Linked DNA regions of Coturnix japonica. Each later gene encodes a partner of the first gene's protein in a complex. Links are inferred from orthologs where the notes say so. Each region holds a gene or a part of one and is shown on either strand. Other genes may lie near its edges.

Evidence for each region.
Region 2: the proteins of NCAPD3 (region 1) and NCAPG2 are in contact, whole or in part, in a cryo-EM structure (PDB 9F5W), measured with the Homo sapiens proteins. The link is inferred for Coturnix japonica from reciprocal best matches to the Homo sapiens genes NCAPD3 and NCAPG2. Residues at the interface, in NP_056076.1 of Homo sapiens: Glu1213, Lys1216, Ile1217, Pro1218, Leu1220, Gln1247, Ser1250, Glu1251, Tyr1254, Lys1258; in NP_001268861.1 of Homo sapiens: Phe291, Lys332, Pro333, Ile334, Trp336, Lys340, Ala341, Arg342, Arg347.

Annotation. Positions count from the first base shown.
Region 1 is NC_029539.1:2,130,432-2,135,424, forward strand, and holds part of NCAPD3 (condensin-2 complex subunit D3), read right to left. Parts: intron 4,515-4,993; coding exon 4,452-4,514; intron 4,285-4,451; coding exon 4,201-4,284; intron 2,127-4,200; coding exon 2,053-2,126; intron 1,143-2,052; coding exon 1,008-1,142; intron 351-1,007; coding exon 130-350; intron 1-129.
Region 2 is NC_029517.1:8,480,329-8,485,321, forward strand, and holds part of NCAPG2 (condensin-2 complex subunit G2), read right to left. Parts: intron 4,607-4,993; coding exon 4,507-4,606; intron 3,862-4,506; coding exon 3,677-3,861; intron 2,875-3,676; coding exon 2,731-2,874; intron 1,621-2,730; coding exon 1,517-1,620; intron 669-1,516; coding exon 571-668; intron 170-570; coding exon 67-169; intron 1-66. UniProt on the Homo sapiens protein: Regulatory subunit of the condensin-2 complex, a complex which establishes mitotic chromosome architecture and is involved in physical rigidity of the chromatid axis.

The DNA.
Region 1 (4,993 bases):
TAATAAAATAATCTGGATTTTGTCCACGAATGCCAAGATAATAAAGGCAACAAAGAGATCCAGTGCACTGGACAAAGGAGTGTTTTGGAAACACCAGAAGAGCCCACAATGAAGGACAGCCACATTTACCTCAGCTCCTGGCTTTCCGAAGTCAGCAGCGTAAGGAGATCCCATGCCAGCACCTGCTTCTTGTCTTCCCTCCTGAATTTACTGTAATGCTTTATGTGCTGCAACAAAACCTGATCAAGGCATTCCAAGGCCTTTTCTTGAACAGAAGTTTCAGAGTCCATTACAACAGGCACAACTCCAGTCAACCAAGCCTTGTGCACCAGGACATCATCGTGCTGGACCTGAGAGAAACACACTGTATTAGAAACATCTCCTTTAGTTATGATGTGGTCCTACAAGCACAGATAAGACCAACGAAAGCCTAGAAACCTTGAGATTCATTTGTTAACTTGTAAAATAAGTTACAATTAGCTCACTGCTCAACTGACAGCAGAAAGTACAGTACTCTGACCAAACTACCTGGGCTAAAGCAATGCAATAGTTTGTTTTGAAACTCTATAAATAATTATGAGAGTATTGCAATAAAACTGTAATGCAGATGATTTAAGACTAAAACAAGAGGGTTTTGATTAATACAAACCTTATGCTCCATGACTAAGTTACCAAACCTTTGAGAATAAATAGAAGAGAAGGAAAAACATTACAGTGGCATCATGAACATGCTGTATCACAGCAAAATGATTCAGGTTCTCAAATTTCAGAAGGACAGCAACATAAACATCCCTTCCATGACACATAAAACCAACAGGCAGGGAAAAGAAAAGCATTTCCAGCAGTTGAAAGCATCCCACATAAATGGCAAGTATGTGCAAGTCACTGATTGCAAGTCAAGAGATGATTAAAACAAATAAAGAGCACAGTCATAAGTGATTTGCTGTGCCCTCATCCTCTTAAACCAACATTTCAGCCATAAGAATTGGTGTTGTTCATTTCCTCACCTCGAGGAGTTCTGTCACAGACTGCAAGGCCTGTTTCCGCACAGAGACTGCGGGGTCCCGGCAACGGTCCTGAAGAGTGGACAAATCTTCTGCAGTGCAAGGGATTGCTTTGTGCTTCAGGATGTTTGTAAAAACCTGCAGGTCAAAAAACAGCATGAGTTCATCGGGAATACGAGCCAGGATGCATGGGGAAATTAATCAGAAATAGATCAATCCCTAATTTAAGTCAACAGGGAATAGAATGTATCGCAATGAAAGGGAAACATAACATTAGTAATTTCTAAGTACCGGGCAGAACTTGATACAGAATGCTAAGAGAACTTCTCAGTCCTTCAGATTTTATAAGAGAATTCTGCATTGAGTCAATGCCACAACTCCCCCTTGAAGCCAATGTTTCTCTTGTTATGACCTACATCTTTCACCTGCCAATAAGAGGGAAAAGAATTGAAAACCTCACAACAAAACAGTCAGAAACCCTTAACCTGAGGTGTTCTCATCCTGATTTATCCTGGAGGGGAAGAACTAAGGGAAAGAGGACTAACAGGGAGAAAGGCAGTCAACAACAGATCCGTATCCTATAAAACAGTGAAATTCACATTGAAGAAGATACCTTTCAAAGTTCATGACTTAATTAATTAAAATGAAGCAAGCAGAAAAGCAGTGCATCCCTCAAAATGATGCCAGATATAGCCCAAACTCTTGCTAACAAGGTAGAAACAAAGCACCTCTTATGCCCCAGTTTGTAAGGAAGTCGCTTAAGTTAAATACCTATTGACATTTGGAAAGAGGCTCTTTCTCTAAATGATGGAATAAGTGAATGCCAGCAAAAGAGTACTAGAATGTTATTTCTTCCTTGCATTATTTACTTATCAAGAACTAGCAAAAATGACCTTTTTAAGGACTGAATGCACTCGGTGGGAATAGCAAGAAGCTACAGCTGGGCAAACTTACATACAGTTCACTGCAGTACTACAGCTCAATTATTTGTTCCAATGGCATTCTGTGTAATCATGCAGAACAAGAAATCATGCAAAGAACACCATACCTGGAGAGCAGATTTCCTCACAGTGGTTTTCTCATCTCCAGCTCTCAGCCTCAGCAGGGCCATGATTTCTTTTCCTATCCAAACCCAGGATAAAAAGAAGTTATAACACCCACCCAGACCTCCTCTGTATGCTTTGCAGAGCTCAGTTTGTTGCCCAAGGTTTTCAGGAGCAAGAGATGAGGGCTGAAAGCACAACAACAACTAACTGAAAGAATGTGGGTTCTCCTTTGCAGCTGCCATTCTGACAAGGGGAAGAAAAACCCAAAGTTCTTCTATCTTGAAAATAAATCATAGGACATAACACAAAATCTGGTGATATACCAAATCATTTCATACACAGAGCAAAAAGGAATAATCTGTAACTCCCAGTTCTTTTATTTCTGTATATAAAAGGTATCAGGCTGCCTTCAAAGCTGGAAATTAAGTTTTCCTAAGGACATTTTGAACTTGCAAATACAGAAACCTGTTACTTTGAGAGATTCATCTGGAGATCTACCATGTTTCCATTAAGAGAAACAATTAGTCATTGGGAACCAATAAATATAGGGTCTAAAAGTAGGCTTTTTTTAATCAAATGAAGCTAAGGGATTTCAATCTGCATGACTAGTGCTTTCTTAGTAGGCAGGTAACTGCAACTGAGTCTTTCTCCTGAGAATAGCTTGACAGAAAAAGCACACAACCTTTTCTTTGCAAGACACTGCCAAGAGAACAGTCATGCTGCTATTGCAAAGGTAACCAAATCTGCTAAAGTGATCAACCTTGGCCAACTGTCATGGATTTCTATGCATAGTGGCATAGGGAAAAAAACAAACAAGCCCTGAGATCTAAATGGCTGAGAACTAGCAAGAGAAACTAGCAAGGGAATAGAGTGTTTATAGGCTGACAGGCACTGCATACTCTATAGAGTATACTTCACCCTGCAGATTATCCCTACCAGTCTTATCTTTGCCCTTGTGCATTTTGCAAGTTCTGAATATCCTCAGCAAAGATTTATTTTGCTTCTAAAAGACAAGCTGTTTGGTCTTCATAGAAGTGCAAAATTAGCACAGGCAGAAGCCAAACAAGTGTGTGCCAGACAGCTTTGCTAATGCACCTTGACTGGCTCTGAGAAGCCTGTTTTTTAGCTATCCTCTTGAGCCTCAGACAGCCCTTTTTGATCCAATCCTTTGCTTAATTTGTTTTGCCAAGTGCCAAGCGGCTCAGCTGGTGTATCAGATAACAAAACCAGGCATCCTCTGCCACACAGAGCCTGCAACTGAACAGGGAATACACAATACCTTCAGTGGCCTGAGGATATTCTATCTTAGAGAGCAGATTAATGAAATTTATCAGCAAAATGTTTTGAAAGAAAGCTTTCAATAGAGAAGATAGGAGCCTGGTTCATGAAGATATGGAGGGATCCCACATGAAGAGCAGCATGAGAAGTGTAACAAAGACACAGAGGCAGGATGCGAGCTAAGCAGTAAATTGAATTGTCAGCAGTTCAAGAGAGGTGAATAGCAACAACTGAGAGCGAAGACACAGACAGAGGCCTAAATGTGAGGACTCCACATTGAAGAGGAAGAGATTCAATGAAATATCACAGCCACGAAAGCCAACTTTTGTGCTGATTTCATGCCATTAAGGAATCAGATCTAGCACACTGACGTTGCAAATCAGTCCATTTAACCTCCCACTTTGCTTTTAACATCAGCCAATACCTGGTGCTGCTGAGAATTAAATGCTTCCCTGCATAACAGTGCCAGTCAAAGGTGCTGTGTTTTATGCAGCAAAAATACATCCATTCTTTGTGCACTGAAGCAAGAGGTTTAATTACCCTTAAATCTATGGAGCTACAAGTACTGCATCCCACATCAATTAGCATCCTTTTGGGAAAGTATAAATTATCTGCTTTGCAATGAGTATTGCTACCACATTAATACAAATGAACACCAGCATTTCACAATTAAATGTATTTCCCAAATTTAAGTGGAAATGGCATTTCCATACAGCAAGCACTTCCACCCCTTCACCACCTGTGTTTTTTAACAGCTCTCCAGAAAGATCTCTCTGCTCTTTGAGAAATGGTCAGCGAACAAGATTCAGAAAACATAATTGTAATCGAAGTTCTGAAGAGCTATCTGAAAGGCTGCTGTAACTGTGACATACCATTCACCATGGCAGCACTGCTGCTGTTTGTCAGCTCAATCGTTTTGAAGCTTGGTAAGGTCTTCAGCGGATGGTTGGACGTAGCTGGAAGAAAAGTTAAAAGCTTAAGAACTGAGCATACATTCACTCCACGTGATTCACCATTAAATAGAGAGCTGCACACATGTCCCACGTTTTATGGATACACATATTTTTAGAAAGCAGCACGCCAAGAAAAGCCTGAGACTTATCATAAGAGAATGACTCCGCACCTTCTTCACTGAGCATCAAACTGGCACTGTTTGTGTTTGCATCCAAGGCTGCACGGTCATAGCCTGCCAAAAAGAAATTAAAACAGAAATTAAATGAATCGCTCCCATTCAGCACGTTCTGTCACTCTGATTTCTAGTTTGGCTTCTTTTTTTTTCTCCTAAGGCAAGTGATCCAACCACACAATGATGTGTGCACGCTTCTCAACTGTGCCATCTGGCCTCTACCAAACCCGAGGGAGTTCAGAATGCCAATCACGAAGATACGAATTTAGCAGAAGCAAAAGGCAACTCAGGATTTAATCAACCCTCAGACAAAAATTAACTTTTTTTTATTGTACAATTTCAGCTTCTCATACATCCGTTAAAGGTATCTCATGGAGTAATCTATTTAGAGCATGTACGCAAAATAACCACCCTCCAAGTGTAAGGCTACAAGTAAGACTCATCTATTACCTCCCTTACCAAAGGTGCTCTGTGCAGGTGTAAGGCTATAATGGGATGATAACAGCAGGGTGGCAAAGTCTTTGGCTACAGCAAACAAG
Region 2 (4,993 bases), on another chromosome or scaffold:
CTGCTTTATAAACACAACAGAAAGGGTATAGGAGAGGTTAGTGTTCATTTCCAATAGCAAATTTACCTTTCAGTATTGTTAGATTCTTCTGTGGCAGCTTCCTTGTAAGTTATAAGCTTTCTCTGAATGACAGGTGCAACATCTTTTAGAAGTGAAGTTTTGTGCTTACCTATTTGAAATAGGATTATGTTAAAACGCTGAACAAAAATAACACTTCACCAAAAAAAAACCCAAACCCTTTTGCACATTTTCATAGTGTGTCTTTTAAAAAGACAAAAAAACCCACAGCACTTTAATAAAAGATTAGATATGACTAGATTTTTACTGCCCTAAATTAATGTGTGTTTCACTAAACCAAAATATAGAGATGGACCCTATGAGTGAGCAGTCGTATTTTCCAACTCACTACAAAACTTGTAAGTCCAAACCTTAATACCATCATGTACAAGTGATAGGCCTTAGTGCCTGCTGAATTGGCTTTTTATATTATACCAGCAATATATACATATATATATATATATACATATACACACACACACACACATATGGTACAAAATGGGTTTGACTGACCTTTAATTACAATTACAGTGCATACCACAGACGTAAGACTAAAAATCCCTTCAATTTCTTCAGATAGAATGCATTCCAGTAATTCATTTAAAAATGACCTAAGGGAAAAAAAAATGTAAATATACTTTCTAAATCATGTTTATTTCAAAACAGAACAGAACAAGCTTGTGATTATACTACACCACCACCATAGCTTTGAAGATACCATATAGGGCAAATGTGTGCTTATGGGGTGATGGACAACTACAGGCTTCTTATGGGACTTTGAGTGTGAGTTCATACATTGCTTGGGAAGAAAAGAAAGTTTTCCCATAGAATAAGTAGCTTGTCTGAGAAATTAAGAGCTTGTGGAATATTTTGGAAAGAACAGTCTGAAAAAAGTACTGTAACCACTGGAATGCAATTTGTACAATTTATAGTGAACTTGCTAAAATCAATTCATAGTGAAGTTTAAAATACATTATATGACTCCGGTGGATTGCCAGTAACAACTCAGGCCTTTAAATCTAATTCTACTTGTAGCTTAATTGGAACCCAGAGTTTAATTAACATTTTGTTCTAAAATGTGTATGTCATAAAAATTAATTTGAGGTGTTTCCAATTAAAAAAAAAAGTGAACAACTCCTTTATCAAAGTACAGGACTTGAAAAAGGTTTTGAATTTTATACAGCCATTCTTTCTTGTGAATCTAAAAAGGAATGATGTCTGATTAAAGACCTCAGTTAGGTGAACAGTCTTGTAAATAAGCACTGTTGGATATTTAAAACTAAGAAAAAGCTCAGCAGTCAATATCTCCAAGATTACGATCATGCAGGTGAACTGAATAAGAAGTTTCAGTTTCTCAAAGCATATTTGAATTCAGAAATTAAAATGTTATTGAATACACAAAAGCTGTTCTATTCTGTGTTATTAGCAACCTTGGACAATTTAATGGAGAAACATTTACCTGACCACATTAACAGACTTCATAATGATTGCCATTAAGCTGCTTGAAAGAGGTGGAAGGTCTGAAACTGTCCTTGGTATTGTGAAAGCTTTTTCACTGGAAGCCTAAAGAAGAAACAGTCAATAACTTAACATATATGCAGAAAATATCCAGGCAAATCTGTACTGCAGTAGTTAACGCTAAACAGGACCTAAACAGCATTCCCATGCACAGTTTGAACACCTTAAAATCAATTGTGCAGTGCCCAAAATAACAAAAAATAAAATCTAGGCTAAAACTGAAGCACGTAAACAGCATCACGGGAAACAGTCTCCACAGTCTGCCTGAGTACCAGTCTATGACCAGTCACTATTTATAAACACACAGGATGCTGAACAGAAATAAACTTGAAGACACGAAGGATATTTAAGAATATAACACAATTTCTTAAAGTTAGATGCCACTGATTCCCCAGGCCAACTCTTTTTGTATGAAGTTCTCAATAGTATGGCAAGTATTTAGAGCGCATGTTTTGATTTACTAGAATAAAAGCTGCACATACCTGTACAGCAAAATACAAAATTAATTCCCTTTGTGCCAATGATAGGCACATATCAAGCCACTTCCTGGAAAGCAAGGCTGGAAAGAGGCTCTCTCTGACAGAGAGCATAATGCTTGCTTGGAAAGACCACAAATGATCCTTCTTCCTCCTTGTTTCCCTGCACTTTGATTGCTGAGCACATTATCTGGTCTGAGGTGAGCCTGTGGTCAGTCGGGGTCAACTGTCTTGGCTGAGGGAGTTTGTCACTGTGCAAACACTGTTTAACAACAGCCAAAATTGCTGGTGTACCACCAGTGCTGTTTTCAACTCAAACGCAAACCACAGCAGCAGACGGGCTGCGATGAAAGAAATTAACTCCTTCAAAGCCAGACTCGGTACAAATACACACACAAAGAACTTCTCAAAAAAGACCACGTTGTTTACCCCCAACACTGCCTAACTTCTAAAATTTTCTGCAAGAATCAGATACTGAACAAAGTATCAAGACAGGCATCTTACATGTGTCTGTAAATCCAAGAGATGCATTTTAAGATCAAATTATGGCAAATAAAACATCCTATTTGTTCCACGCCATAACACACAAAGCATCATCTGCGGTAGGAAAAACACATTTCCTGAACACAGCTTTCTACTTCCAATATAACCTTTAAAAAGCAATCAGCATTAACTTTACCTCCTGTAGCGCATACTTGATCTCTGCCAGTACTGCAGCTAGGAGAGTGGAGAACACACTCTGGTGAACTGCTGGGCAAAATGAATGCCAGCACTGGACTGCGTGTAAGAAATCTCCAAGAGGCGTTTGAATAGACTGAATCAACTGAAATCAAAGAGAAACAGATTGGCTGCTTGAGATTACATGAAAATGATGAAAATATTTCAACAAACCGCTGTCTGCAAAGAAGTGCAGATGACACCCTGAAAGTCACTGTGGTACTCATTCACTTGGCATCAGGAGGGCGAATCGGTAACAAAGGTCAAAATTCTACTCACTAGTTTCAGACAAAAGCAAACAAAGCAATGATTGAACCAAAAAAGCCCTTATTTCAAAAGACCTAATAAGCATATCGTCATATCTTCCACTGCGATCCTTCTACCTTACTACTATCTTCTATGCTATGAAATGCAAGAAGCTAAACTTTCTGTGAAGATAGGATGGTCTGAAGAACTACAGGACATCATCCACATGTTGAAGCTGATGAAATTCATGCTGAAACAAACAGAAATAGCCATAGTTTTTTATCTCTCTCAGGATCAGAACATATATAACCAAATCCCTTGCTCAGGATTAAGCCCATTTTCATTGACAAGAAGGTTAATAATAGTGTATCTAACCTGTGACCTAACCTACAGTGCTAGAGTAGGTAATTGGTACAGTAGATCATTCATAGGGTACATCACTGGCAACATAACACACTGTTCTCTTGTTTATTAGCAATTCTGTCACAAGACCAACAGTGGTTAAAGAACCTACTGGAGATGGGGAAACATTAATACTAGAAGAAGTGACTAATAATATAAATCAGATGAATGGAGTAACAACCTCAAAGCGTAACATCACTTTGCATTTGAGTACAAGCATGGATTCATCTACATAAAGGTAGCGATGTTAACAGTAATACCTGAATCCCATCTCCCGGCTGCTCCTTGATTCTGCTTGCAACACATTCTAAAACCTTCTGGAACATGGTCTGAACAGCATGGAGGACATTTGCTACTTCATCCACCTCAGTGCTCTGAGTCAGAGAAGCTTCAGTAATTTCTCTTAGTGCACACAATAGTATTGGTGTACAAAAGGCACCCCTGGCTAAAGAGAGAAATACCGCAATATACACACTGAAATGGGATATTCTTTAGATGCAAATTTTTAACAAAACTTCTATACCACAAACACAGCTACAGTTTCCTAGATGATGCATTTAGTTTCTGAGCACCTTCAGCTTTACTTTTCATATATCTCAAATAGTATTTAATTAAGTATAAATCCAGTGTTCCTTAAAAAATTTCTTGATGTATTCAGAATAAAACTCTATTTTGTGAGGAGGAACTGAGCTTTAATTCTGTCTCTGCTGTCAACTTAACTTTCCAAACGTGAGCCAAATTTAAACTGCACTACAGTTTTGTCTCCTTAGATACACATAAGATCAGTGTGCATAAATATTTATGTACATATACTACTGTGTGACATACCAATTATGTAACAGGAATTTAACAGCAAGGAAAAAACATCAGCCACCAACAATGATAAGATGCTGGACAGTTTCTCTGCTTGTTTTCAACTTGCTGAAAAGCTGTTGTTATTTCTCACCATATGAATGATATTAGCATCAACTATAAATACTGTTTTTTGAGAAAGAGATTCCACAAAACAAAAAAGCAACAGTTCTGTCAATATACAAACATGTCACCTAATTGTGTGTGAAGGTGCTGATGTTAGCACTATATTTCGTACCTGTTTGTATTACTGAAAGTGCCATATCTAAAAAGTGCAGTTGAAACTTGACATTTCCAAGACCAACCATTATGACATCTTTGCAGATTGACAGATAGGCCTAGAAAAGAGAAGCAGAAATAAATCAGAACAAAAACATTACTATAAAAAACAACAGTTCAGTAGTAGTGAGAAGCAATAAGAATATAAAATCCAAGGAATCATTTAATTCTCTTTTGTTAATCAGCCAGCATTTCAATGAGTTGGGCCATTCAAAGACACAGACTGTGATTAAAGTTTGTCCGAATCTTTCCCTTGACTAGAATTTGAAAAGACCCACAGCTCAGTGGTAAAATCTGCACTATGTTAAGTGAGACATATGGGAAATACAACAGAAGACAATTAAAAATTTGCTTATATATTACCTAATCACGTGCCTTCTGTGTACCTACTAACAAGGAACATTATTACTGACTCATCATGCAGAATATCAGTTCTGTTGTTGATA